7 linked regions of the Coturnix japonica genome follow. The protein of the gene in region 1 purifies or fractionates together with the protein of each later gene. This does not show direct contact. Links are inferred from orthologs where the notes say so. Each region holds a gene or a part of one and is shown in the gene's direction. Other genes may lie near its edges.

What was found.
Region 2: the proteins of RMND5A (region 1) and RANBP10 purify together in Homo sapiens (affinity purification with mass spectrometry; 4 studies listed by BioGRID and IntAct, counting the BioPlex papers as one, with this or other methods). This does not show direct contact. The link is inferred for Coturnix japonica from reciprocal best matches to the Homo sapiens genes RMND5A and RANBP10.
Region 3: the proteins of RMND5A (region 1) and ARMC8 purify together in Homo sapiens (affinity purification with mass spectrometry; 5 studies listed by BioGRID and IntAct, counting the BioPlex papers as one, with this or other methods). This does not show direct contact. The link is inferred for Coturnix japonica from reciprocal best matches to the Homo sapiens genes RMND5A and ARMC8.
Region 4: the proteins of RMND5A (region 1) and SKI purify together in Homo sapiens (affinity purification with mass spectrometry; 3 studies listed by BioGRID and IntAct, counting the BioPlex papers as one, with this or other methods). This does not show direct contact. The link is inferred for Coturnix japonica from reciprocal best matches to the Homo sapiens genes RMND5A and SKI.
Region 5: the proteins of RMND5A (region 1) and RANBP9 purify together in Homo sapiens (affinity purification with mass spectrometry; 9 studies listed by BioGRID and IntAct, counting the BioPlex papers as one, with this or other methods). This does not show direct contact. The link is inferred for Coturnix japonica from reciprocal best matches to the Homo sapiens genes RMND5A and RANBP9.
Region 6: the proteins of RMND5A (region 1) and MKLN1 purify together in Homo sapiens (affinity purification with mass spectrometry; 4 studies listed by BioGRID and IntAct, counting the BioPlex papers as one, with this or other methods). This does not show direct contact. The link is inferred for Coturnix japonica from reciprocal best matches to the Homo sapiens genes RMND5A and MKLN1.
Region 7: the proteins of RMND5A (region 1) and GID4 purify together in Homo sapiens (affinity purification with mass spectrometry; 4 studies listed by BioGRID and IntAct, counting the BioPlex papers as one, with this or other methods). This does not show direct contact. The link is inferred for Coturnix japonica from reciprocal best matches to the Homo sapiens genes RMND5A and GID4.

Annotation. Positions count from the first base shown.
Region 1 is NC_029519.1:77,646,903-77,650,911, forward strand, and holds the end of RMND5A (E3 ubiquitin-protein transferase RMND5A), read left to right. Parts: intron 1-357; coding exon 358-512; intron 513-1,819; coding exon 1,820-1,883; 3' UTR 1,884-3,509; downstream 3,510-4,009.
Region 2 is NC_029526.1:1,706,481-1,709,980, forward strand, and holds part of RANBP10 (ran-binding protein 10), read left to right. Parts: coding exon 1-123; intron 124-791; coding exon 792-904; intron 905-2,302; coding exon 2,303-2,411; intron 2,412-3,233; coding exon 3,234-3,382; intron 3,383-3,500. UniProt on the Homo sapiens protein: May act as an adapter protein to couple membrane receptors to intracellular signaling pathways.
Region 3 is NC_029524.1:2,440,076-2,443,575, forward strand, and holds part of ARMC8 (armadillo repeat-containing protein 8), read left to right. Parts: intron 1-1,253; coding exon 1,254-1,329; intron 1,330-1,419; coding exon 1,420-1,510; intron 1,511-3,500. UniProt on the Homo sapiens protein: Component of the CTLH E3 ubiquitin-protein ligase complex that selectively accepts ubiquitin from UBE2H and mediates ubiquitination and subsequent proteasomal degradation of the transcription factor HBP1.
Region 4 is NC_029536.1:1,500,030-1,504,175, reverse strand, and holds the start of SKI (ski oncogene), read left to right. Parts: upstream 1-1,346; 5' UTR 1,347-2,408; exon of another isoform or gene 2,409-2,513; 5' UTR 2,514-2,523; coding exon 2,524-3,435; intron 3,436-4,146. UniProt on the Homo sapiens protein: May play a role in terminal differentiation of skeletal muscle cells but not in the determination of cells to the myogenic lineage. Functions as a repressor of TGF-beta signaling.
Region 5 is NC_029517.1:68,373,667-68,377,656, forward strand, and holds the start of RANBP9 (ran-binding protein 9), read left to right. Parts: upstream 1-1,190; 5' UTR 1,191-1,496; coding exon 1,497-1,941; intron 1,942-3,990. UniProt on the Homo sapiens protein: May act as scaffolding protein, and as adapter protein to couple membrane receptors to intracellular signaling pathways. Acts as a mediator of cell spreading and actin cytoskeleton rearrangement.
Region 6 is NC_029516.1:2,803,398-2,806,897, reverse strand, and holds part of MKLN1 (muskelin), read left to right. Parts: intron 1-1,786; coding exon 1,787-1,934; intron 1,935-2,955; coding exon 2,956-3,070; intron 3,071-3,500. UniProt on the Homo sapiens protein: Component of the CTLH E3 ubiquitin-protein ligase complex that selectively accepts ubiquitin from UBE2H and mediates ubiquitination and subsequent proteasomal degradation of the transcription factor HBP1.
Region 7 is NC_029529.1:5,018,309-5,021,166, forward strand, and holds part of GID4 (glucose-induced degradation protein 4 homolog), read left to right. Parts: intron 1-545; coding exon 546-647; intron 648-1,321; coding exon 1,322-1,452; intron 1,453-2,576; coding exon 2,577-2,640; 3' UTR 2,641-2,858.

The DNA of each region.
Region 1 (4,009 bases):
TCATGCAGCTCTCTAATGAGCTGCTCCTCATTTGGAAATAAATCCTGTTTATTGCAAACTGGGCATGGTCTGAGTTAGCCTCACTGTCTTAACCTAGAAGAGATTCATATGTAGCTTCAGTGTGTGTGTCAAGTTTTCTCTCAGCTGTTTCTTTTATAACAGTGAGAGTGGAACCCTCAAGTGTGCACATTCGAGCCCTGCAGTTTTCAGTCCTCAAGTTGTGAAGCATCAACTTGATGGACTTTGCTGCCTTCAGTGCCGAGTTACAGTTCTTACTTAAGGAATTTTGTGACATAAAGGAATGGTTGTCTGGAAATGTTGCTTCCCAAGATAAAATTATCTTCATTTCTTTCACAGATTGAAGTGGACCTTGGTAAAAAGTGCTGGTACCATTCAATATTTGCCTGTCCCATTCTCCGTCAGCAAACAACAGATAATAATCCACCTATGAAATTAGTCTGTGGTCATATTATATCAAGAGATGCTTTGAATAAAATGTTTAATGGCAGCAAGTAAGTTACATTTTTTTTGCATTCCAAGCAAAGTATAGAGAATGATGACTCTTAAAACTAGAATATGGCATTTGAGGAAAGCTGGCTCCACAATTCCATAACTGGTGGAAGCTTGTAAGTCTTTGAGTATGACTTTGAAGTCAGATGGCTGAGCTGATGTGCTGGAGGATAGCATAAGAAACCTTCTGATGTTGTTGAAAGGGTTTACGTGAAGGAATGTAGACAAAGGAGTAATGTTCCAAGCTGTAAATACCATCATGTTGTCACAAAATTCAAAGAGATATTTCTGCACACCTGGTTTTTCACTGGGAGCAAGGCTAGTAATGGTGGAAACCCCCTTTAAAGTAGGCAGGGGAAGTAAACCTCTGGGGTTTTGGCTTAGTAATTGAGTGGGTAGTTGAATGATCGTGCCTTGGTAGCACGATCAGGAAGAAGGTAACATGTTGAATGTATGAAGCTTCTATGAAGGCTGTTGGCTTTTTTAGAGCTCTTGGTTGTTTTGTGACATCCAGCTTGAAAATAAGTGATCCTGGGATTGAAAACACTGAGTAATGTTTGCATTCTTTGCTCTGTTTAAAAACACAAAACAAAACAAAAAGGGGGAGGGTATACTTTTTGGGTAACTTTATCCATTTTAAGCCAGTAAGCTTACTGCTATGTTATTCCTGTCCCTGGTCACTCATTCCTGATGCTTTTATTCATCAGCTTTACTGCCAGAACAGCTCTGACAAAATTGACTTTGGGGAATGAAAGATGCAAACTTAGAGATAGGGGAAAGATGCATCAGTGCTAGAAGAAATACAGTGAGCAGATGGAGTTGTGCTGGTGGACACCTCAGCAGGGAGGCCAGGCTGACCTATTTAGCCATAGCCTGCAGGTGCTGATCTGTGTGGATTGAGAAATGACAGCATTTTGGGCACAGGAGAGCAAAACTGACTGGATGTTAATGAAATCACACTGAAAGCCACCAGCCTGCTTAAAACGGCTACAATGCAACAAACTAACTAACCCCAAAGCTTAAATAATAGATTAGCCATGAAGAATAATTTCCTGGTATTTAATAATTCAGAGGTGAGTGGGTAAAAGGTGAGAAAACATGATTAAAGGGGGGAAAAAAATGGGATAAGGTTTCTCTTTGTGAAAGGTAACTTTTAGCAGAGCCTTCAAGTGTTGTTGTGTGCTGCTGGGGGAAAGGAGGAAGGGCTGTCCTTGCCAGTCTGGTGGAGGAAGAAGCTTTGTGCTTAGCTGTGTTTCAGCAGGCTTCTGCCTGCATTACTGCCATCCTAACGTGTTGTTTTTGTCCCCAGATTAAAATGCCCCTATTGTCCGATGGAACAGAGTCCTGGAGATGCCAAACAGATATTTTTCTGAAGAGAAGCTTCGTTATGATGCGGTTTGTAAGTGACACTCTGCAATTCAGGTGCATTTCAGGAGAATTAAAACACACCTGTTCCATTTTATGCAGCAGACTGAGGACTCCTATGTTTGTATAAGCTAATGCTACAGAAACTTTGCCAACATTTAGTATACACATACCGAGTGGAAAACGCTACAGAAATATTATTACCATAGGGCTTTACTATACTCTTGGTCTCCATACCTGATCAAGTTACTACACCAGCAGTTGTCATTCAATGCAGGTTTTTGTACTCAATTATATGGTGACTTTTTACTTTTTAAAAGCAGAAACGGATCCCCCCCCCCATTTGTTTAATATTCCTCCTGCTATCATCTATCAGTATCCGTCACCTTAGAGAATGTTTGTGGAAGAAGTTTTATTTCCTGTAATGTGTACATAATTAAACAGAAAAAAAAAAAGAAGAGTTTGATAAATTGAATAGTGGTTATAAAACTAATTTGTATTTTTTTTGCTGAAAGAGCTGTGATATATTCTGAGGTTTTCTTTCCAACACTTGTTTGTTTTTTTTTTTTTTCAACTTTTACATAGAATTCAAAGTAAATGTGCATATATATAAAATATATAAATATATAGCCCTGAGGGGCTTACCTGTTAAAATCCATCACTAATTTATAAGGGTGATGTGTGGGTAGATTACTGCTGGAACAGAGGGAAGAGGAAATCCTGTTCCTTAGGTTTCAAACGTTTGTGTAAAAAAATACTCAATAAAACAAACTTCTGAAGTGGAACTGCTTTTAGTTGACAACGTTTGCTCTCTGTCCTTCATAGTCATGTTCTTTGGACTTTGTATTCAGGATTAGGCTATAAATGTCATGTTGCTGTATAGTTGAATAGTCATGATAGTGTGCTATTTATAAACAGTTATCAAAACCAAATAAATTGTATAAGTATTCATTGTTAAATGGGGGAAAAGCATGTTCTGATGCAGTCTTCTGGTCACTTGGCAGGATTGGGCCCTACGTCACATACTGGGAGGTAGCAAACTTTCTGTAGCTTGACAACACTTTGCTTCTAGCCTTGTTTTTGTAGTAGACTATTACTGCCATTGCCACTTTTTCTGCTGAATTTGTCATATTGTTGACTAGGTTTGTACTCATGAACAAGGTGTAGATCATGGCAGTTGGATCTTTTTCTAGTGTGCAGATATTTGTATTTATTGCACTGTCCTATAGTAGGGCGAGCGGCCATAAGGCATGCGAAGCTACGTGTAAAGTTCTATTTCTGTATTGTGGAGTAAAAAAACCCCAAGTTGAATACTGACACACTGGTCGAACTCACTGACACAATGCACTACAAGGAAGACCGTCTGTGAGACATCTCCACCTTTTGAATCCATGTGGCACCTGACTTGAGAGACTGAGTTGGACTCTGTTGGATCCCTGACGATGGACGTCCTGGATAGAGACACTGAGAGAGAAAAGAGAAGTCAAGGCAGACACGTTTTGAGCCTGGAGTGTGTTTGGTACGTGTGACTTTCTGCAAAGCTTCGATTGTATTCACACTGAGTTCCAACCAACCAGGTTACCGAGTGGTAAAACTAACAAAAATAAACAGGTGAGGATATTATTTTCCACGTAGGCTTCCTAGTCTTGGTGAATTGCTGGGTTACCTGCTGGGTTACTGCTTGCAGTTTTGAAGCTCCGCCAACAGGTGATGCTCGTGGTCTGATTATAGAGCGCTTATGTGCGAGGCAGCGCGATGTGGTGCTGGGTGTGTTTGTGAGGCACTGCCTGCACTTTGGTTCTTTATTTATCTCCTACTACTGCCTGAGTTGTTTCCTTTGCCCAAAGAGTGAGTTATTTCTTACTATAATCTCTTTCTATTCTTATTTCAGATCCGATCAGCAGCCAATGTGTCTCATTTTCTCTACTGCAGTTTGGAAACATCCACAGTGTTTTTAAAATCAGATACTTCTGCTAAATGCTTCTAAAGCATTTTGAAGTGCTGCACTCATTTCTGAGCTTCTGTACCAAATTCGGAACCTTTATGAATCCCCTTGCACTGCAATGCAGAGTAAGAGGAAGGTTCTGTATGTATCCAGATCACTGCTGCACTGGGCTCAGAGCTGGAATGAAAC
Region 2 (3,500 bases), on another chromosome or scaffold:
GCAGCAGCCGTTTGTGTTTGACATCGAGGACTACATGAGGGAGTGGCGAGCGAAGATTCAAAGCACCATTAAGCGGTTTCCCATAGGAGACAGGCTAGGCGAGTGGCAAGCCATGCTGCAGAAGTAAGTCATTGTTCTGCTGTTCAGCTTCTTGTGTTCTCTTACATGCCCATTTCTGCTTTCTTATGGCAAAAGTTGCTCAAATCTAATATGTGTTGTTTTACTTCTGTTGTTTTCTGTGGTTTGAAAACTGGCCGAGCCCAGAGGGTGGTGATCACTGGTGCTGAATCTGATTGGAGTCTAAAGATCAATACTGGCTCCAGTCCTGTTTAACATCTTCCTTCCTTAATGCCTAGAGTTCACAAGTGGATTCAACTACCAATTACCAATAATAGCTGGACAAATAAGTGATAACAGAAATTAAGGGCCAGAATTGAAAGAAAGAAAGGATCAGAATGTTGGGGCTCCTTGAGGTCTACCTGAAAACCAGGAGCTTCTCTGAGGTTGGGATTTTCTGTGTATATAGAGAGAGGGAGCTGTGTCTTATGTGGCCAGGAGACATCAATGGCACTTACATAGTAGTGAGCTCTTACAGATGACCTTTAGGCAGCAGTAATTACATAAATACTGTGTATACACTGGAAGTTTTGTTTTTTTGTTAGAGCCCTGGTAATGAGCTGAGTTTGTTCACTGAAATTACAACTTCTATTGATTTTTTTTTTTTTTCCTGCATTGGGATTACTTTACATTACCAATGTCTCTTCATCCAGTTGTGTTCTCTTGTTTTCTAGTATGGTTTCTTCCTATTTGGTTCATCATGGGTACTGTTCAACAGCAACTGCCTTCGCCAGGGTCACAGACACTGCAATCCAGGAGGAACAGACCTCAATAAAGAACAGACAAAGTAAGTCTATGGGGTGGTCACATGTTGCATTCTGGCTGTGTTATTTGATTGCAGCACTGCTATCTGGAACAGAGGTAGTGCCAGACTGGTGGAGAATAGATCTCATCACTTGCACTGAACCGAAGTCACTGTGCTTCCGAGGTTCCTTTGGATTTGAGTTAGACTCAGTGATCACCGTGGATCCCTTACAATGCCACTATTCTAGTCCCAGATGGAGCTGTTGGTGTCCCTGCAATGAGCATGTTGGACTAGATAACCTTCAGAGGTCCCTTCCAGCTCAAATGATTCTATGATTCTACAGTTCTAAGAATTAATGTTCTGTTGTCTGCCTTGAATACTTCTCTTTCCTCTGCAGTGGTCCATCTCTTAGCATGTAAGCCCTCTTGGCTCCTGTAGAATAAGGCTTTGCAGCTTTCTCCTGCTGCACTTTTGCTTTTTCAGCCATTCTATTCACAGACTCAGACCACAGGCTCACAGAACATTGGTGTGTTTTCTGCATTCTCTCACTGAATGCAGGCTGTGCCCTGCCCTGTGTGTTTCCCTTTCCTTTGTGAACCGTTTCTCACATGGCCATCACACATCAGGTGCATCACCTCCGTATATCACATGTGCTGAGCCAGCATGCAGTTAGTTTGGATACTTTGCTCATTGCTCAGAGTAACAGAGCTGCTGCCCATTAGTGCCTTTGTATGGTTAGTGCTGATGGGTTTGTCTGCTTCCCAGGCCTTGCAGCCCTCACCCACCTGGTGCTCTTGCTGGTTTGGGTCTCCCAGTATGTGAGACAACCTGGTCTGATCTTTGTGAGCACAGGTGACAAGGGAGCCTGGAAGGAAGGAATACAGAGCTCTGCAGCTGGGGCTTAAATAAAGGTGTGAAGAGAGCACAGGTGGGGAAACAAAAAGAGAAGAAGGTAGAAAAGGCAGAGACATCTGTGAGTGCTGCCAGACAAGGCAAGGAGGAGAGCTGGCAAAAGCAGTGGGACGTGGAAAGTTGTGAGCAAGGAAATGGAAGGAACAGAAGGGAATGAAGGAGACCCAGGGGTTTCCCCTCTCAAATCCTAACTTCCCCAGCACCCTCCTTGCTCCCATCAAGCAGTCGTGTCCTCGGACTTTCCCACTGCTGCCTAAGCTCCTCTGGCTAAAGGAGTAAAGGTGCAGAGCACTCCACCCCAGTGCACCCACTTCATCTTTCAGATGCTCCAGGTGTTTCTGAGCTCCGAACAGATTCTGTCACATTTACAGACTTTTCTTCATCCTAATCTGTAATAAATACAGCGTGCTCCCCAGTTCTTCCCAAGCCCTTGTGTGAAGAGGTAGTGGGGAGCTGTGTGACGTACCTAAGACTGCTCTCTGAGTGTTGGCCTGCCCTGTGTGTCAACAGGTTTCCTTTTACTTTCAGGAATACAGAAGCTAGTATTAGCAGGCCGAGTCGGAGAGGCTATAGAAGCCACCCAGCAGCTGTACCCCGGCCTCCTAGAACATAACCCCAACCTGCTCTTCATGCTAAAGTAAGTATGAATAGCTTTCTGCACCCTGATGCCGTAATGTGAAGCTGAAGGAGATAAGGGGCTGTTCAGTCATCCAGGGAGGCTGCACACCTTGGTCTGAATTCTGCCTGAGGTCCCATTGGTCACCAGTGTTTCTAAGTTACAGAGTAGAAGGGTGAACTCTCATTGGCAGTTTTAGTATGTGCCCTGAAAAACCCATCCATGGTCTAATTTTGTACTACCTGTGGAGATGGTGGAGATGAAAGCATGTCATAAAGGAACAATGCAAAGGAAATAAATTTGTGTTTTGGGACTAAGAAAACTCTCTTTATCTCACTGTGTGTCCTCACAGCAGGCTTAGCATCACAGTGATTCTCTTGGGTCCTGAGCAGAGCGGACTTGGGAGCATTTGTTTAACTGGAGGAGTATTTCTAAGGCCTGCATCTGAATCTGTGAAGAGTTTCATCTCTGATGCTATGGCCCCATTGACACCGAAATGCTTTTTCTCCCTCTCTCTGCCTTCACTGATGCTAGCCAAGGTGGAACATTGTGTTGATGATCCTGGTGCTCCCCCAGGTGTGGGGCTGAAAAGAAGGGTGACTGCTGTTATACTGCTTGTCTGTCTCAGTGTGGTTCTCAGCATTCATTAGCACCCGCATGGCACTACATGAACTCAGAGTACTCACAATACAAATATACCAGGAGTCTGAAATGGCTCTTTCGAAGCCAAGAAATAACTCCTGTCCAATTCCTAAGGCTTCTGCAGGCAGTAAGTGAGGAAGCAGCAGTGCAGAACATGCTGGCTGTCACGCGCCCTTTTCTTCTTCCTTCCCATGAAATCAGGTGTCGGCAGTTTGTGGAGATGGTGAACGGGACAGACAGTGAAGTCCGTTGTTTCAGTGCACGCAGCCCCAGATCCCAGGACAGTTACCCTGGGTCCCCCAGCTTAAGTCCCAGACACGGATCCAGCAACTCACACGTTCACAGTACCGGTAGGTGCTTTATTTTGTTTCCTACGTCTTCCAGTGCAAAGAGCAAATATTAAAGGCAGGCTGCTGCACTGTGCATTACCTTCTGCTTTCCGTGCTGAAAGTGCTCCTTTCCCTTATG
Region 3 (3,500 bases), on another chromosome or scaffold:
CCTGTTGCGTTGGTGCATACCTTGTATTCATGAAATCATCTGTTCAGTAAACAGAAGTGTTGCCAAATAAGGCTTTTGTTTTGAAGCCATGTATCCATTTCTGCTATTTGTTACTCCTGACTTCACTGCTATTGATTGTCTTACCTTGACTGTAGTGAGATACAGTATGAATGCTTGGTAGTCTTTGCTGTTATTGTCTGCCTTCAGAATTCTTGGGGAAGATGAACCTAAACCTAAAATGCAACAGTCACAAATGCTTTCTTCAGCGACAGGGATTTTTAGGTTGAAATCTTGCTTCTTAGTGTTATGGTCACACTAAGGAAGTTGTAACAAAAGCATAGAAAGACATCAGCAAAATTTACATATATAGATTCCTCATTAACGACTACTACAACATATATAGAACTGTAGCAATTGAAGTCAAAAGACTGTGAACTAAATTAGATTCATTATCTGGGATGATGGTGATGATCTTCCTTGCCTCAAAAAAGAGGTCAGAAGGAAGTCATCTTTAGTAGGCAGTTATGAAGGCTTGATGAACCAAAACTTAGTTTCAGATTTGAGGCTACCCAAGGAGGTTGTAGGGTCTCCTTCCTTGGAAATATTCAGAAGCCAGCTGCCCTAGTTGATAGATGAAGTTGAACCAGAAGATATCCAGAGGTCTCTTCCAACCAACCAAAACAATTCAGTGATCCAGCATAGAGAGCTGTGAATCATTAGTGCACGAGTGATAACTGATGTTATGCAATAGCAATGAAACTTACAGTATATTATTGTTTTAAGATTAGTTTAAAATCAATTTGACTGGATAATCTCTTCAGAAATATTATTAAATTCACCTTTAAAAACTACTGATACAGTGACATGTGTTTCTAATTCCCTCAGGGTACTCATGAATCCTCGAAAGAGGAAGTACTGGATTTATGATATATCTGGGTTTTTTTTTTTGCTGTTTACATGTTTGTGTGAAACCACAAATGAAACTAGTGTTTCTGAATGTCTGCTTCCCACATGCCAGTCCTTGCTTGTGTCTTTGAAAACAGTCTACAATGTCAAGTCTGGAATGGTAATTCCAAGCAGGGAGATCACAGGAGTTAAACTGTGAATTAGATGTTTTATCTGCTTTTTATCCATCTAAATTTCTTACTGGTGATGCAGAATTATTTCTGCTGCTTTGTACATCAATACAGTCCTGTTTTACTTTTAAGTTAGCATTTACATCTATGCTTTATTTATTGTTTTTTTTTAAACAGGTTCGAATGCAAGCCTTGAAATGCTTCTCCGTTCTAGCCTTTGAAAACCCACAGGTATCAATGACTCTGGTAAATGGTAAGTATAATGCAACCGCTGCTTGTTTGACACTTACTTTATTGACTGATTGAATTAGTATCACTTTGAGTTCTCTTCCATTACTTACAGTGTCGGTTGACGGAGAACTGTTACCACAAATCTTTGTGAAGATGTTACAAAGGGACAAGCCTATTGAAATGCAGCTCACATCAGCCAAATGGTAATTTTCATCGGGAATTGGAATGCAATAGTGTGCAATCTAGTACTTCTTAACTTTTGGTTTTATCCTCGCTGCATGCGAGGGAACTAAAACTTTAGGTAGGAATAATGAAAGATGTTATTTGTATTACCTAGATACTTGAAATATTGTTATCACCTAGTCATCTTATTTTTTCTTGAGCATAAACAAGAAAAAAACCACCTCTGTTTTCTTCAGTTGAACTGCAGTTTTCTCAAGTAGCTTGAATTTGATTATAAGTTTTATGTTAAATAGGTTATAGTCAGTAGTTTGTCCTTACAAAGTATAATACCGAAATGTAATTGTGTACTACCAGATAATGTGCTTGTTACACCACTGTCCTGAGAGTTTGCTTTGGAGACTGTGGCTGTGGTGTATTGAGAACAGTAAGCCCTCTCCTAAAATAAGAAGAGAGCAAGACACTCTCTCAAATGGTTTAATTAAGCATAGATTGTTTTTTAAACTTCATATGTTCATGCAACAGAATTAGTTACTAATTTATTTTAAAGTTCATCTCTCAACTTTCCCTTTTGATATGGGCAGATTCCTGTATGTTCATGTACCTAATGACTTTGTACCTTGTGACAAAATGTGACTGAATTCTGTAACATTAACACTAGGGTTTCACACTCGATAAGCTGGGAGCTAACTCTGCTTAAGACCCTTTTTCTTCTCTTATATTGATGAGATGGAGTAAATAAATGACTTCAGGTGTTTGAAGAGATATGTCACTATGAACTACTAAAATCTAACATGATTTGAGTGTTTGGTCATTGATTATTTGATTTGGTCTCCTTTAATTCTTTCCATTTACAGCTAGTCCAGATTTTAGTGGCTTATCTTTGGCTTACAGCAATGAGTTCTCTCATTCTATTCACCAAAATAATTTCACTGACACTTGTCAGAGCAAAGGCTTGAGTTTCTGGCTGAGGAATAAGGATGGGGGGAGTAGGAGGATGGTCTCTTTTGTCACGTTGCCAGGTTGTGGCAACTTAACCCATTCATGAAAGCAATTATAAATAAGTGTACGTTTGGGGAGGATTGTTTTAGGAAGGTAATCCCACTGTGTGGTGGGAGGCTGGACTGGGGGCCTCCTGCATTCCCCTCTAGCAAATCAGGTTTTCTTCAGGTACTGAAGGGGAGGCAAGGTAAATCAACTGTCTTGAAGAAGTCTGTTGTGATCGATTTGTGTTTCTTTGGCAGTTCAGAGAAAACAGAGAATTAGGGTTAAAAAACCGAGTTCATGAGAACAGGTTATTTTTTTTAACTTAAGATACAAGAGCATCGGTTAGTTATGAAGGCAAATTGCAGTTAGAAATCTATTCTGGCTTTGGTTTCTTCTTGTTCTAGGATAAACGCTCTCAGATATGTTGGTATTCTTTACTAATCTGCTTTGATTTGGAGGGATTTGGCTGGAGATTCTCTCATTTTTGGCTCAAATGGACTTTTGAAAGCACAGAAGAAAAAATGTGCAATGAAAAGCAAAAAAAACCCTACAAGAATGAGGGGAACAAACCAGTGTCTTGTGCTTCAAGAGTGGGCTCCTAATTAGCCTGTGGGCAGCCCTCTTTCCTAGGGCACTGAAGGTATCAGTTTCATGACAGTGTAAGGACTTCAAAAATCTACTGGCTTTTCTTCTCTAAATCTGTTCCCTGCTTGTATCCCTTAAAGTAAGTCTGTATCTCTCTTCACTCCTACTCCTTCTAGGCTGGAGTAGTAGGTGAAATTGTAACTGCTTTTCTGATAAAAAATTAAGACTTCACTTTTGATGTGCCAGCTTTTGTTGATTAACGTGGGATTCCTCTCTGGTTTATTGGTAGAGTCCTTAGAATACAGAAGTAGAGTTATTTTGGTGAATTTCTGAAGCCTTCTGCTAAGCTGGTTTTAATCTACATACTGGTATACAGGGATATCTGAGGAAGCTTCCTTTGCTTTTCAACTGTTCAAGTAGACCTGGAAGATCTGACTTAAT
Region 4 (4,146 bases), on another chromosome or scaffold:
AATCCCTGGTGCTCCTTGCTCCCCCTTCTGCCCCGCTGTTGTGTAGTTCTGTGCAGTCTGTAGGTACAGGGAAATACAAGCTGGGTTGCAAACTGGTTTCTGTCACATCATGAAGTTCATTTCAGAAGCTGCTCTTCTAATCAGTTCCTATCTGAGTACAGCAGACATAGAAACTGAGGCACGCAGGAACTGAACGACTTGCCCAAGGCTACAGGAAATCTGTGGGAGATCTGGGAATGGACCCCAGATGTCCTGAGTTTAGTCTTAACCACCAGACCATCCTTCCTGTCTTTTTGGTAGTCCCCTCTGCTTCAGGAATTCCATTGATGGATCACACTCATGAGTTAATCACTCATCTGTTGCCCAATCCAGTAATTTACTTACATTAAAGAGTCATTTGGAAGGAAAAAAACACAACAACCAAACACCTAAAACGAGCTGTGGTTATTGCTGTCCTTTATTCCCAAAGAGTAAAGGAAAAGGAGTGCAAAAAAAACCCAGCATCCAGAACTAAGAGGCTTTTCCATTACTAAGCAGACTTCCAGCAAACGACAATTTTGCTCTTAACAAAATTGGATTATCTATACTTGATGTTTGAGTCTGTCTGCGTGTTTATATTTCAGAGAGTTTAAAACATCAAAAAAAAAAAGCATGAAGCAGAATTAAATCCATCTAAGGCAGGAATCTGGTGCTGTAGTGAACTCTTCTTTTGCTGGCAGCCTGTTTGGATGCCACATCCCTAATGGGCTCAGGGGGATCTGCTGTTGTGTGCAAACAGCAGCATGGAGTTCTCTGGACTTGGGGTGTGAGGACACAGCTGGTGCATGAGTGGTGCCTCCAAGTGCTGCTCTGTGCTGAGCTGTGAGGCCTTTTTCCCTTTGACTGCTCGAACTTCAGAGCACAGAAACACAAACAGCGTCTGAACTCGGTGCGATCCCTGCCCGCATCGATCCTGGCTGAACCTCAGCCTGTTTGGTTTGGTGAGGGTTTGTTTGCTCTTGGAGCTGTTTGGATTTGCTTCACTTTTTTATTGTACTGTGGTTTATCTTCGTTTATACCATAGTGGTGAACTTCCAGAAGAGACCAAATGTCTCTGCATCACAAGGCACTATGAGCAGCGCATCAAGTCTCTCTTGCATCATTAATATCTTAGTTGTGTGTATGCAGAGCTTTCCAGCGTCTTCTTTTTGCGTTAGACTCGCTGATAAAGCTCTGAGCTGTGGGGCTCGTGTTTTGTATCTGTATTTTCCGAACTCTCCAGCCGTTCCGAAGGGCAGACAGGCGGGTGGGGAGCTGCCACCAGGGGGTGCCGTTCCCTGCACGGAGCCGCAGGTTCGGCCCGTCCACGTTCCTCCGGGCGCCGCCATTTGATGCAGCGGCTGCATCACCCGGAGCTGCATCACCCGCAGCTCCGCTTGCTCGGGGTCCCGGCTGTCGGTCCCCGTTGGGCTGCAGTTATTCCGTGTGTGCTCCACACCAGGTGCTCGCAGGTTTAGCAGCGGTTCGGTTCAGGTGTTGGGTACACGAGGTGCTGTTTGTTCCCTTATTTCTTTCACTGTCGTCCAGAAATAAAACGCCGAGCCCCCACCAGCCCTGCCGCCCCTCCTTCGCGACGCTCCGCTCTATGAACCCAGCCTCTCTCCCTCCCCCCGGGGCTGAACGAGCTGCGCCTGCCCGAGCAGGAGGGGGGAGGCGGCCGATGTTCCTGGAAGAGCCCGGCCTGGGGAGTTGGTCACATTCTTGGCCGGGATTCAATGACTGAGGCAGACACCAACAAACAGAGTCGGGGGGGAGGAGGAGGAGGAGTGAGGGAGGCTGAGCCAGCCCGCATTAGCTCAGCTCTCAGGCACTCTCAGTCTCTGCTGGAAAGAGGAGCTGGGAGGATGTTAGCGCGGCTCCCCACGGCACGTTGAGAGCGAGAGGAAGAAAAGAAAGGAAGAAAGAAAAGGGGAGCGAGGCGTCGGGGAGCCGGATCGAGCGAACGGAGCGCTCGGGGCAGGCAGCCCGCAGCGCCGCTTCGGAAGTGTCGGAGATCGGGGCCTTTAATTCTATTCCGCCTCGCTCCCTTCCCCGCACCGAGCCGCCTTCCTCCTCCTGCTTTTTACTTTCCTTCCTCCTGGTGGATATGGACACAAGCGGGATCGCTGCAGAGAAGCAGCAGCCAACAGCTCTTATTTAACCCGAGGTGCCCGGAGCGCGGCTCGGAGCGGCGTTCCGGGGCTGGCAGTGCTCGGATGAAGACCTGGCTTCGGTTTGACTCTGCGCTCCGGCCGGGCCGGGCACGGTGAGAGATTGTGACGGAGCGAGAGAACAGAAAGGAGAAAGAAACGCCAACGAAAAGGATTTATTTCCTCGCCGACTGTGGATTGTTAAACCGGAGTGGGAAGGGGGAAAAAAAACCAACAAGGGTGGGTTGTTGTTTTGTTTAAAGAAAAGAAAAAAATCCCTTAAGTGGATTTGTACCAGCGTGGAAGATAATTGGGGATTTTTTTGTTGTTTGTTTTTGGGAATAGAAACTAAAAAATGGAGACTGTAAGTAGAAGCAGCTTCCAGCCTCATCCAGGACTGCAGAAGACCTTGGAACAGTTTCATCTGAGCTCTATGAGCTCCCTGGGTGGCCCTGCTGCTTTCTCAGCGCGATGGGCACAGGAGATGTACAAGAAAGACAATGGCAAAGACCCCGCGGAACCTGTACTGCATCTGCCCCCCATCCAGCCCCCCCCGGTGATGCCTGGTCCCTTCTTCATGCCCTCGGACAGATCCACTGAGAGGTGCGAGACCATCCTGGAAGGGGAAACCATCTCCTGCTTCGTGGTGGGTGGGGAAAAGCGCCTTTGCTTGCCCCAGATCCTGAACTCGGTGCTCAGGGACTTCTCCCTGCAGCAGATCAACTCGGTGTGCGACGAGCTCCACATTTACTGCTCCAGGTGCACCGCTGACCAGCTGGAGATCCTCAAAGTCATGGGCATCTTGCCCTTCTCTGCCCCCTCGTGCGGGCTGATCACTAAAACTGACGCTGAGAGGCTTTGCAACGCCTTGCTTTATGGTGGCACCTATCCTCCCCACTGCAAGAAGGAATTCTCTAGCACGATTGAGCTGGAGCTTACAGAGAAGAGCTTCAAGGTGTACCATGAGTGCTTTGGGAAGTGTAAGGGACTCCTGGTACCAGAGCTTTACAGTAACCCCAGCGCAGCCTGCATCCAGTGCTTGGACTGCAGGCTCATGTACCCGCCTCACAAATTTGTGGTCCACTCTCACAAATCCCTGGAAAACAGGACTTGCCATTGGGGCTTTGACTCTGCAAACTGGAGGTCCTACATCCTCCTCAGCCAGGATTACACTGGGAAAGAGGAGAAAGCTCGGCTGGGCCAGCTCTTAGATGAAATGAAAGAAAAATTTGACTATAACAACAAATACAAGAGGAAAGCCCCCAGGGTAAGTGATGCCTTAAATTCTTATTTTAAGAAGGAGCCAGGGTGAAGAAAGAGAGAAAAGGGATTTTCGATGACGTCCATAGATGTACTCAATTTGTTACCAACCGTTTTCCTTTTAGAGTCGTTTAGCAATCTAATCGCGTTCTTAATTCTCACCACGTGTGCGTTCATGTAGACGAGCAGCGTTCGACATGGCTCCTTTTTTTTCCCCTTTTTCCTCTGGTTTTGTGCTGAGCTCGGGAGCTGGAGTTTGATTCTGCTGTATGTGTTTGTGTATCGTATTGTACACAGAACCTGATCTTTGAAACCCATCACGCTGCCCCACTTGAGCAGGAAGTGATTTGGGGCGCCGGGAGCTTCGCTTGGAGGTCAAGATGGGAAAGAAAGGAGGGGAAAATAACTCTGATGGCCCCAGACACGAATGCAGACGATTTTCTCCTCAACTGCGTGCCCCCAGGGATGGAGGCAGGGGCTGAGCTGGAATAAAACGTGGCCGCTGAGAATGTAATGCAGGTTACTGGTGTTCATTGGAGTGCAGAACGGGAGCGAGCTCTGTGCTTTTAGGGGATCCCAGCGGAGTCTGGCTCTCCCCAGCAAGACAGGCTTTTGTATATCGGATTATGTGTACGTAAATGGATCTGAAGGGCCAGATGCAGCAGCTCGTTGCGTTGTGCCCTGCTGTCCTGAGGCCAGACAGCGTTTTTCAGGTGCC
Region 5 (3,990 bases), on another chromosome or scaffold:
CCTACATGGTCACATAGTCCGACCATCCTCTTATCACCACTGCTACCAGAAGCTACTAAAGCATATCTCATAGCTCCTCATCCAGATGCCTCTTGAACACCAGCAGGGATGGCGACTCCACCACACCTCGTTGTACAGCACACTGTAGCTCGATGGCAGCCATCTCACAGTGGGCAGTGGGAAAAAAGGGAAAGGAAGTGTCAGCCATGACACTTGCCTCGGCTGATAGCGATAGCAAAAATGCTCACTGAAATTCAGAAAAGCTATGAACAGAGCAAATATATCCCCAGATAGCTGATGAGTGCCAAATGATAGATAAACTCTAAAATCCCGAGGTTTAAGGTTTACAGGATGCTTGAAAGAGAGCTTAGACATGCTGGTGGACAGCCTGTGAGAGGCAGGGAATCCGTGTAAGACTTGTCCTCCAGACCATCACAGCTTCATTGTCTTTCTCCAGACACACTCCAGGGTCCAATGTCTTTCATGTACTGAGGGGCACAAAACTGAGCACAGTGCTTGATGTGTGGCTTCACCAGTGCATAGTACAGAGGGATGATCACCTTCCTGTGCCTGCTGGCTGCCCTGTATCTGATACAAGCCAGAATGCCATTGCACTACATCATGGCACTGCCTCACCTGACAGATACCTTGCTGGCTCTGAGGAACCCACTCAGCTTCCTATCAGCGTAGGTGCGCATCACACCTGCATTACCTCGCTGGCACGGGTGTAGAGCAATTAACCTCCCTATTTCCTGCTCCCGTGCTTGTTCTCCAACCTTCTGGCAGCTGGAAACACTGTCTGAAGCTCCCAATGTTTCAGGCTCTAGAGAAGTCCTTCCTCTCCTAAACGTGTCCCAAATTTGTAGGAGGTTCTCCTTCACGTGAAACAATCACCGCAAGCAACCGCTTATGAAACAACAACGCTGTATGCGTGGGTAAGAAGACACACTACCTAACTTCCCCCACCACCGAGACTCCCCGCAGCTTCACGGCCCACAAGCCCCGCTCTCCACCACATAGCGACGCCCACCGCCGTCGCACCTCAGCGCCCATCGCTGTTGCGTGCAGCGGAGAGGCGGGGCCGGGCGGCAGCTGACGGGGGACGCCGGGGCTGGACGGAGCGGGCGCGCACGCGAGACGGGAGGGGACGGGGAGGAGAGAAGGGGGAGCCCGCCCCGCCCCGCCGCGGCGCCCGGCGCGCTCCCGGCCCGCTCCGCTTCCGCCCGGCGCCGCTCTCCGTGCAGCGCTCGCTCCATCGGCCCGTTCCGGCCTGGTTCTGCTCCGCCGCGCCCCCCGGCTCCCATCGGGCAGCCCCGCCGTCGTCATCGCCCCCGCCCCCCCCCGCTACTAGGCGCTCCGGCTAGGGGTGACCCGCCGGTAGGGCCGCCTCTCTCCGCAGCGCGGGGCCTGCCCGCCGCTCCGCCTCGGGCCGATCCGTTGACGGTCGCCGCCGCGGAGAGGAGGAGGAGAAGGAGGAGGAGGAGGCCGGAGCCGGGATGTCCGGGCAGCAACAACAGCAGCAACAGCCGCCGCCGCCGCCGCTCCCCTTGGCGGCCGCCGCTCCGCCGCCGGCGCCGGGGGTCCCCTCGGCTGCGTCCAGCCCCGGCCCCGCGCCTGCCGCCGCGCTCCTGCTCCACCCTCCGCCGCCGCCCGCCACCGCCGCGCCGCCGCCTCCAGCCGCCGGCAGCACCGGGCCCGCGGGGGGCGGCGGGGGTGGCGGGGCGCCGGGCTTGGCGGCGGGGAGCGGCGGCGGCGCCCCGGCGGCGTTCCCGCACGGCGACCCGGCCCTGAACGAGCAGGAGAAGGAGCTGAACCGGCGGCTCCACCGCCTGTACCCGGCCGTCAACCAGGACGAGACGCCGCTGCCGCGCTCCTGGAGCCCCAAGGACAAATTCAGTTACATCGGCCTCTCGCAGGGCAACCTGCGCGTCCACTACAAAGGTGAGGGCCGGGGCAACAATAACAGGAAATAACGCTCCGCGCCCTTCTCCTCCTCCGCGCCCCCCCGCCCGGCTCCGCGATCCCTGCCCCGGCCTCGGCCGTCCCCGGGGCGGCGGTGCGGGGCTCCTTCCTGCGGGGAACGCGGAAACGGGGGGGAGGGGAGGGAGCAGGGGTGTGCTTTGAAGAGGGGTGAAAAGGGGATGAAGCTTTGCGAGGGAAGGGGTGGCCGAGGGACTTGTGTCTGCTAAGGTGGTTTGGTAACTTCTTGCCTCCTGGTTCAACTTGCTGGTTCTCCGAAGGAAGATAAAAATCGAGCCGTGTGCGCGTACGGATCCGAGCGAGCGTAGGAAAGCGGCGAGTGTTGGTTGTTATGAAATGTCATAAAACCTGGAAACGGCCGGCGTACGCTCTGACCTGAAAAAACACGGCCACATCTGGTGCTCCGGGCCTGCTCCGAGGGGAGAGTGGCTGCGCTTCACCACCACTAATGCTGGCGGCGAGGAGCCGGCTCCTTTGTCAGTGCCCAGCGAACGGGTGGGGAGGAAACAACCCCGCAGTCACCCTTCTGGGTTGTGCTGTGTGGTGAAATTCGAGTGAAATCCCGATAAACATGTTACTGTTTAATCGGAGGGGGAAAACGGCAACACAAACACATGGCAGGATTTGGCTGCCGTGAAAGGATTAAATGTACTCTCGGGGACTTGTTTTTTTTTTAATAGAGAGGCTTTATTATGACATACAGAATACTCTGTTCAAAATGCTAAGCGTGCTGTGCCGTATGAAGCTAGTGTGGGAGGCTGGCGACCAGCTACAGAGCAGGTTTCTGGGAGGCCCCGAGTGCTTTAAGGACGTGTTATTTAATACCCAACTTCACATTTCCTGGCTTTTGTTCAGTTTTTCATGCCCTCGTATTTTTAGAAGCGTTTTGTATTTTCTGCCGCTTAGTGGCTGCAGTCGGTTTGAGTTGCTTTTTACTTGTTTTCATAGGGTGATCATAGCTTTATGGCCATCAAGTCCTCCTGTGTGTTCTGCTTTGCCCTGCTCTTTTTGCTCATGAACTAGAATTTAGAGACTTTCTGGTCAGCCGCTGTAATTGGAGAAGTGTATTTTCAGGTTTTATTTGTGCTATTTCTGGTTTCCTCCTCTTCGCCTTAGTATTAAACCAGAAATGTGTTGCTTTGGAGAAATTAAAGCAGGCTCCATATGCCTCTGAAGTAAAGACAGTGTAGGAAATGCCGTGGATGCTCTACTGGAAGATGTGAAGCACAGTTGGTAGGTTATGGGAATAAAATGCCATTTCTCTTGCTCTTAAGTAATAGTAAGTGATGGAGGCTGGAGAGTTCTTAAATTAGTCCAGGGGTCTGTGAAGAGGTGAGGTGTCATGAATGGGTTTTTCTTTCTCCTAGCTGCAAGTGGGAGTGAATGGCCTCTCAAGTGGCCCCTCTTTTCTCCCTGGGAGCTGAATGGAGGTGGATGTGAAGGCAGCCCCGGTGCATGTTACCAGCCTGGCACCTGGGCTCAGCAGTGTGAGGTATCAGACACTCCTACCTGAGGCACTGCGTGGGGAAATAACTGAAACATTTGTGGCCTTTTTCCTCTGGATCTTACAGCCCTACGAATGCAGTCAAAGGGAGGAAAATGAGGAGGTTCAGTGAGGAACATGAGAGCAGATAGCATGCAGAAATGTGCTTAGTGTTTTGAAATGTTGTCCCTACAAATCAGCCGCAAGTAGCGGTCTCAAAAGAAGGCATTCAAAGTATCTTATAGGATCACAGAATTTCCTCTAGGATATTAGGTAACTTCAGAGGCACCACAAAAGGCCCAGCATTTGTGAAAGAGTGGTAGATGTTTTTGTTAAAATATGAATCATGCCTGAACACAGATGAAGATCTGTTGTTCTGGACCAAGGAAGTGTGTCCAAGGAAGGGGGAGAAGATGGGTCTGGCCAAAGAAGCCAGTGGTCACAATTGGTTCTTCTCTTTTCTTACATCAGTGATGCAGTTTCTCAAGCTTTCCCTGCTGTGTCTGTAGTTTTCTGACAACAGAACT
Region 6 (3,500 bases), on another chromosome or scaffold:
TTTTTTGCTGTCAGTTTCCTCATTGGGTGACTTTCACAGTCCTGCTTAGACTTGGTCTAGAAACTTGCTCGTGGGTTACCAATAACGCAAATCATAAAGTTGTTCTAGATCGAGCGTTGTTCCCTGCTTTTCTTTTCTCCTTTGCTCTCTACCCATTTGCTTACAAACTGGAGGATCTTTCCTTTGAAACTTCATGGCAAAACAGAGGTCAAAATAGGCAGGTTTATGGTGATGAAGGCTTGAAAGGCTCTGCCTCGTGCTTTTCCATAAAAGCAATAAGCCAGAATTTGGTTGACAGGGCTCTAAAAATGACTTACCGGTATATATTTCAGTTCCTACTTACATTTAAATGAAAGGTAATCATTTTTAAGAGATGTTTGCTTTTCAGTGTTGCTAAACATTTTGGTAACGTTTTTCTGCCTAGGATTTTCAAATTGACATTTATTACTTTCCTAGTGTACCACATGAAAACAGCAAAGAATGAGATGCAGGTCTATTAGAGAATAGGTTTACAAAACACTGCTTTGTGTGTTCTTGAAAAGCAAAATTAAATGGCGTTATTAGCACAGGTCTTGTTTTCTAGGCTGTGTAGTTAATTGCAGGGAAGAATTTGCAAAATACAAGAGTTCTGAGAATTTTTCATGCCAAAATCTTGATTGAAATCCAGGAACCTTTACCAGCCTTTGTAAACTGACCCAGAAAGAGAAATGAGACAAACAGGATCTGTAAACAAAGATCACGTGTTTTTCGCAAATACATTTTGGAAGGATGGTTGCCTAGGGAAACAGGAAATGGGAATTATACAACAAACAAAAAGGACTGCCAAGCAAATTTGCTGACCTTTTTTTTTCTTTCAGGGAATTATGATGAAAACTGTTGGAATCCTCAGTATTTAAATGTACTTCTAAATCTGAAGGTGGAACAGAAGAGTAGCTTAGCAATTATACCACAGCCATACAGGAAATAAAGAAAACTTCCTTGTAATATTTGTCCTAAAGAAAACTATGCAAGACTGTGAGCTGTGTGATCATAAGTTTATCTTGATTTTTTTTCTTTTTTTTTGAGCTTTCAAGCTCAATTAAATATTGGGGAATCAATGCTTCCTTTTACATGATGAGATAATGACAAAATCATTCCATTTTTATCTTGCAAATATATAGTCTAGCTCTGTTGCAATGCAGCTTTCTTCTCATTTTTGAGGGCAGCAGTTTTTCACACCTTGTCTATGCTTTTCTCTAGGAAACAGCAGCTCTCAGGATGGTGTTTAATATGCTTCCAGGAATCACAAATAAGGGAATAAGAGAATTTGTACAGGACTTGTTCTTAGTGGAGAAGAAAATCAACCTTTGGGCAGTGTTTCTTCCTCTCATCTCTCTAATGTGACTTTGGAGGGCACATGTGAGGAGCGAGTGTTTTACTTAGCAACTTCTACATAGCTCCTGTTTAGAGATGCTTCAGTTTTAAGTGGTGGTAAAAAACAAGAATGCTGTGGAAAATAGAAAATACTGGGTTCACCTGGTTTTATATGAAAGTTGAAGAGGTGAAAGTACTTAAAAAACAGAAGATAGGGATAATAAATAGCAAGGTTGAACTGAAGATACTCTTCATCCAGAATACTGAGAAGGTAGTTGAATAAAATCTTGTACCTGTACCGTGGATATTAGAATATCCCACTATTCCCCTCTTAGAAGTTCATAGAGAGGATAATGCATTTATCTGATGCTTGGATCCTTTCCTGTATCCTCCTTTATTTTTAGCCTTCAACTTATTTTCTTTCTTTTGTCAGTTCCAATGACAGGATTCACTCAAAGGGCTACCATTGATCCAGAACTGAATGAAATCCATGTCTTGTCCGGGCTCAGTAAAGATAAGGAGAAGCGGGAAGAGAATGTAAGGAATTCTTTCTGGATTTATGACATTGTGAGAAACAGCTGGTAAGTCAATTAAAGGGGAAAACTTCCAACTTCTACAATGATTTCTTTAGACAGCAGTTTTTAACACAGTCATACTTATCAAGTAACTATGTAATAATTTATAACTATGCACTGGTAATCTTGAAGACTCAGTTCCTTTCAGGCTTTCTTTCCCAGTGTATTTAGAAAGCCATCTGAAGGGAGGAAACTGTTCTTCCTTCACTGGAGACAGGTGGGAAATGGGGGAAGAAGTAAGGGCTTATATGAAGTTTTTCCTGTAGGAAATGTTCAAGGTAAAAAAACATTTTCCTAATTCCCCGCTGGACCCTCCCCTGACAGGTCCATGCTATTCCCTCTGGCCTTGTTACTGTCACCAGTTCTTGCAAGGAGCTCTAGGTTGCTATGGGGCCTTCCCTCAGCCTTCTATGCTCTGGGCTGAAGAACTTTGGTTTTGGACCTCAGCTGTTCCTTGTACTTCTTGTCCTCTGGGCCCTTTCTTATCTCTGTAGCTCTCTTTTGGATGCTCTCTTAAGAGTTCTATGTCCTTTTTATATTGTGACATCCAAACTTCACCCTGTGGTTGAGCTGAGACCACACAGTACAGAGCAGAGAAGGACAATCCTTTACCTCACCTGGCTGGCAGTGCTGGGCCTTATGGACCCCAGGGTACGTTTTCCAGGGCACATTACTGATCTAGATTCAAGCTACTGTCAACTAGAATCCCCAGCTCCCTTTCTATGGGACTACTCTCCAAGCCTATCACCCTCAGTCTATGAATATCCAGAGTTGCCCTATCCTAGTTGCAGAATCTAGCGCTTGCTGTTGTCAAACTTTATGTACTTGGCAATTCCCTTGTCCAGTTTGTCAAGGTCTCTCTGTAAGACATCCAGTTGGAAACAAAACAAAACAAAAAAGTCAGTGTGGGAAAGAAATTAGTGATTAAAATGGTACTTTTGCTAAAGTTTGTGATCTAGATTTCCCTCATCCCTACTGTATGCAAAATACTATCCTATTAATCAGTACTTATTGTCATATATTTTAGGTCTTGTGTCTATAAAAATGACCAAGCAGCCAAAGAAAATCCAGGTAAAAGTCTTCAGGAAGAAGAGCCCTGCCCAAGATTTGCCCATCAACTGGTTTACGATGAGCTGCACAAGGTATGAGAGTCTAAATACATAGACAGTAATTTTATTTTTGCTGTTTATCCAGTGTTAGTTGCTTCTTCAGAGATAGTACAATGAAAATATTGCCTGTTTGGTGTTAACTGTTTTGGATTACTCAGCTAACGCATTAATGTGTTTTGAAATGAGCTGTACTTTTCCCTCTTATGGATAGCTCCTACAAACAATGCAGGTTTGTCAAGTGGCAAGCTACTGTCTTCTCTTGTGCTTGAGAGCACCTGCAGCTTTGTACGTTATCTTCAGGGACTTCAGCTCAAAACCTCTTGGAGTTGTTTCTTTAGTTTAGCTGTTGCGTTCATCCCTCCAAATACTCCCAGACCATTAACATTTCTATAAGAAATGTTGGCAATGTTATTGTTCTCTTCTCTCTTGTTGGGAATGTTTTTCTCTTGAGAACTCCTTGGCA
Region 7 (2,858 bases), on another chromosome or scaffold:
CCACTTGTTGGCCCTGGGCTTGGAAGGGAGGCAGGAGCAATTCCCATCTCTTTCACTCCTATGAGAACACTGCTTGTTTTGAAGGCTTAGCACAAAACAGAATGGAGAAGGGGCAAGGTGCCCCTCTGACACAGGCACCTGTGTCTTGTGGCACCAGCAACCTCAGCCTTCTCACCAGGACAGGGCGTGCCCTGGCTCAGGGCCACAGCAGCTGGCTGATTACTTTGCTGCCTTGACCTTTGCTGCTGCTTGCCAGACTGATGTTTGTTAGATTTTTGTCAACAAATATTATTTTTATATGTATATATACCCAAAGAAGTTCAGGACCTTCTGCAACCAGGCTGGATGTGGTTGTGGATGTCTGCAGTCCCTGTTGCCCTGTGCTAGTCCTGGGGCACGCACTCAGTGCTGCTCTGAGAGAAGAGCAGTCCCTTCAATGAGGAGGTCCTGTCTTTTTCCTCCAGAATAGCACCTGGCACTTGTAAGCACTTTTCCTGAATTAAGCCTCCTGGTTTTTGTGTTTACTTGTTTTCCTTTTGTTCTAGGGGAAATTCCAAGCTTTCTACCAGTACGCAAAAACATTTAACTCTGATGACTTTGATTATGAGGATCTGAAAAACGGGGACTATGTCTTCATGAGATGGAAGGTAAACTGTGTGTCGCCTTCTCTGATGAACTGACAGGGACTTGAAAGCGTTTTCAACTACTGGTGTTGGCCTAATGAAAGATCTTGTCCTGTCTGACCTCATTAACCTGCCATACTTGCAAATTCCAGTGTGACTCCTGTCTAGTCATCTCGTTGCATCTTTAAAGGCTGCAGTCATGCCTGAAAACACAACAGGAAAATTGTACTTGGTGCTTCTCCAGAGGTTCAGAGATTCTGTATCTCCAGCTCCTGTGCTGGGCCTGGGTTTGATGCAGTTTGATGACCAGTCTGCCCCTCTTGGCTCTACAGCTGGATTGAATCCTCTCTCTTGACATGAACTGTGTGCAGCTGTGAAGGGAGGGGATCCTCAGTCAGCTCTGCTGATTTTGTGATTGGCCTGTTTTGGAAAGGGCAGGTGTTGGACTGAAATGGATTTTGTGTGCTCTTTGAAAGTACTTCTGCTCTCAGTTCTTGCTTCACTGTAAGATGCTTACAGGGCCAGGAGGTGAAAAAATACACAAATCCTGGTCTGGGCTGCTAGGAATGCAGGGAATGCTCAACCAGGAGTGCTTTTGTGTTAGTGGGTGCTGGTACTTATCTTGGGAGGGCCCATTTGGGTGCGGGATGGGAGCATTTGACCAACATTTCTAAATGCAGATTATGTCTTGTGTGCAGGAACAGTTCCTAGTGCCAGACCACACTATCAAAGACATCAGCGGTGCTTCCTTTGCTGGTTTCTATTACATCTGCTTCCAGAAGTCAGCAGCATCTATAGAAGGCTATTACTACCATAGGAGTTCAGAATGGTAAGGAAGCTTTCTTCCTTTTAGTGGGCCTCCTTAGACAAAGCAGGGACTCCTCTTCTGCCCATCTGCAGGCTTGGGAGCACCCAGGCAGCACACTTATTTTGGTGGGAAGGAGATTTGTTTTGGTAGCTGGACCCTGATGGGGAGGGAGGGTTTATGTGCTTGGCCCATCTGTGTGGTGTAAAGTGCTGTCTTTTGCATGGCTGATGGTAATTGAGCTGGCAGCATGATGCAGGGAAACACTGTATGGAAACATGCTGTGGAGCAGTGAAGCAATGATCTGATGTGTGTGAGGTGCTTTGGGAGGCAGACCCCAGCTGTCGTTCACTATTAGCATCCATCTAGAAACCTGGGCTCCAGCCTGCAAACCTTTGTTGGGGTTGCCTGTAAAAGTCTGAAGTAGTTCAGGCTCTGAGCTTCTCCAGCAGGAGAAATCTTGTGGCCCTTCAGAAGATATCAGAGGGAGCTTAGGTGCCTTCTCACCTATAACAGCTCTCCTGCTGCTCCCTTTAGGCAGGTGTCTTGTTAGGCCAGTGCTTTGTAGTCCAAGGTGCTTGAGGTGTTGCTGCAAGATGCAGGGTACAGTCAAAGTTAATTGGTTGTGGTAGTGGTGTTTTTTTTTGTTAGAGCTCTCTGACAAGTAGCTGTGAGAGCTCTTTTCCCTGGCTTTGGATAAATAATAAAGATATTTGTCACGCACAGCAAGTGAATCTGTAGGGTGTCTGGAAACTCTCAGAGGGAAGGAAGGTGCCTGGGAGGCTTTCAGATGAATCCCCTCAAGCTGAGCTTTGAAAGATTTGAGTCTAATTTTCAGCTGAAGCAAACACTGTTTGAACATGAAAGTTGTCAAACTTCAAAAGGTGTCCAAAGCCCGCAGTCAGCCCTGCTCGATGGCAGTCTGGCTGCAGGTAGCTCCAAGACATGGGAATGGAAATGAGGAACGAAGCTGAGACCTCCCAGGGGTTTGGCACCACTGCCAAGAGGTTTGAATGCCACTGAGACTGTCCCAAAAGGAAAGGGAGAACCCACCTGGCTGCAGCCTGTTGAACAGGAGCTCTTGGTTCAAGGCAGGAGGGTCTGTTGCTCTGTGTAATCTTCTCATCCATCTTTCTCCTCTCTCCCAGGTATCAGTCATTGAATTTAACTCATGTTCCTGAGCACAGCGCTCCTATCTATGAATTCCGATGACAGCTGTCCAGAACTGATACTGCACAGAAGCAAACGGGGCAGGAGAGCATGGCCTGCCAGGAGGACTGTGTCCCTGTCGGAGCACGGGAATGCACGCTTCTCTCCTGCCCCTCGGACTCACGAGAGAGAGCCTGAATGTTAACCCACCAGCCCAAGGAGCATGGCTGCTGGAGCTTAATTCTCCCTCCTGTCGAGTGGCGATTTGATCTTTAATCTGG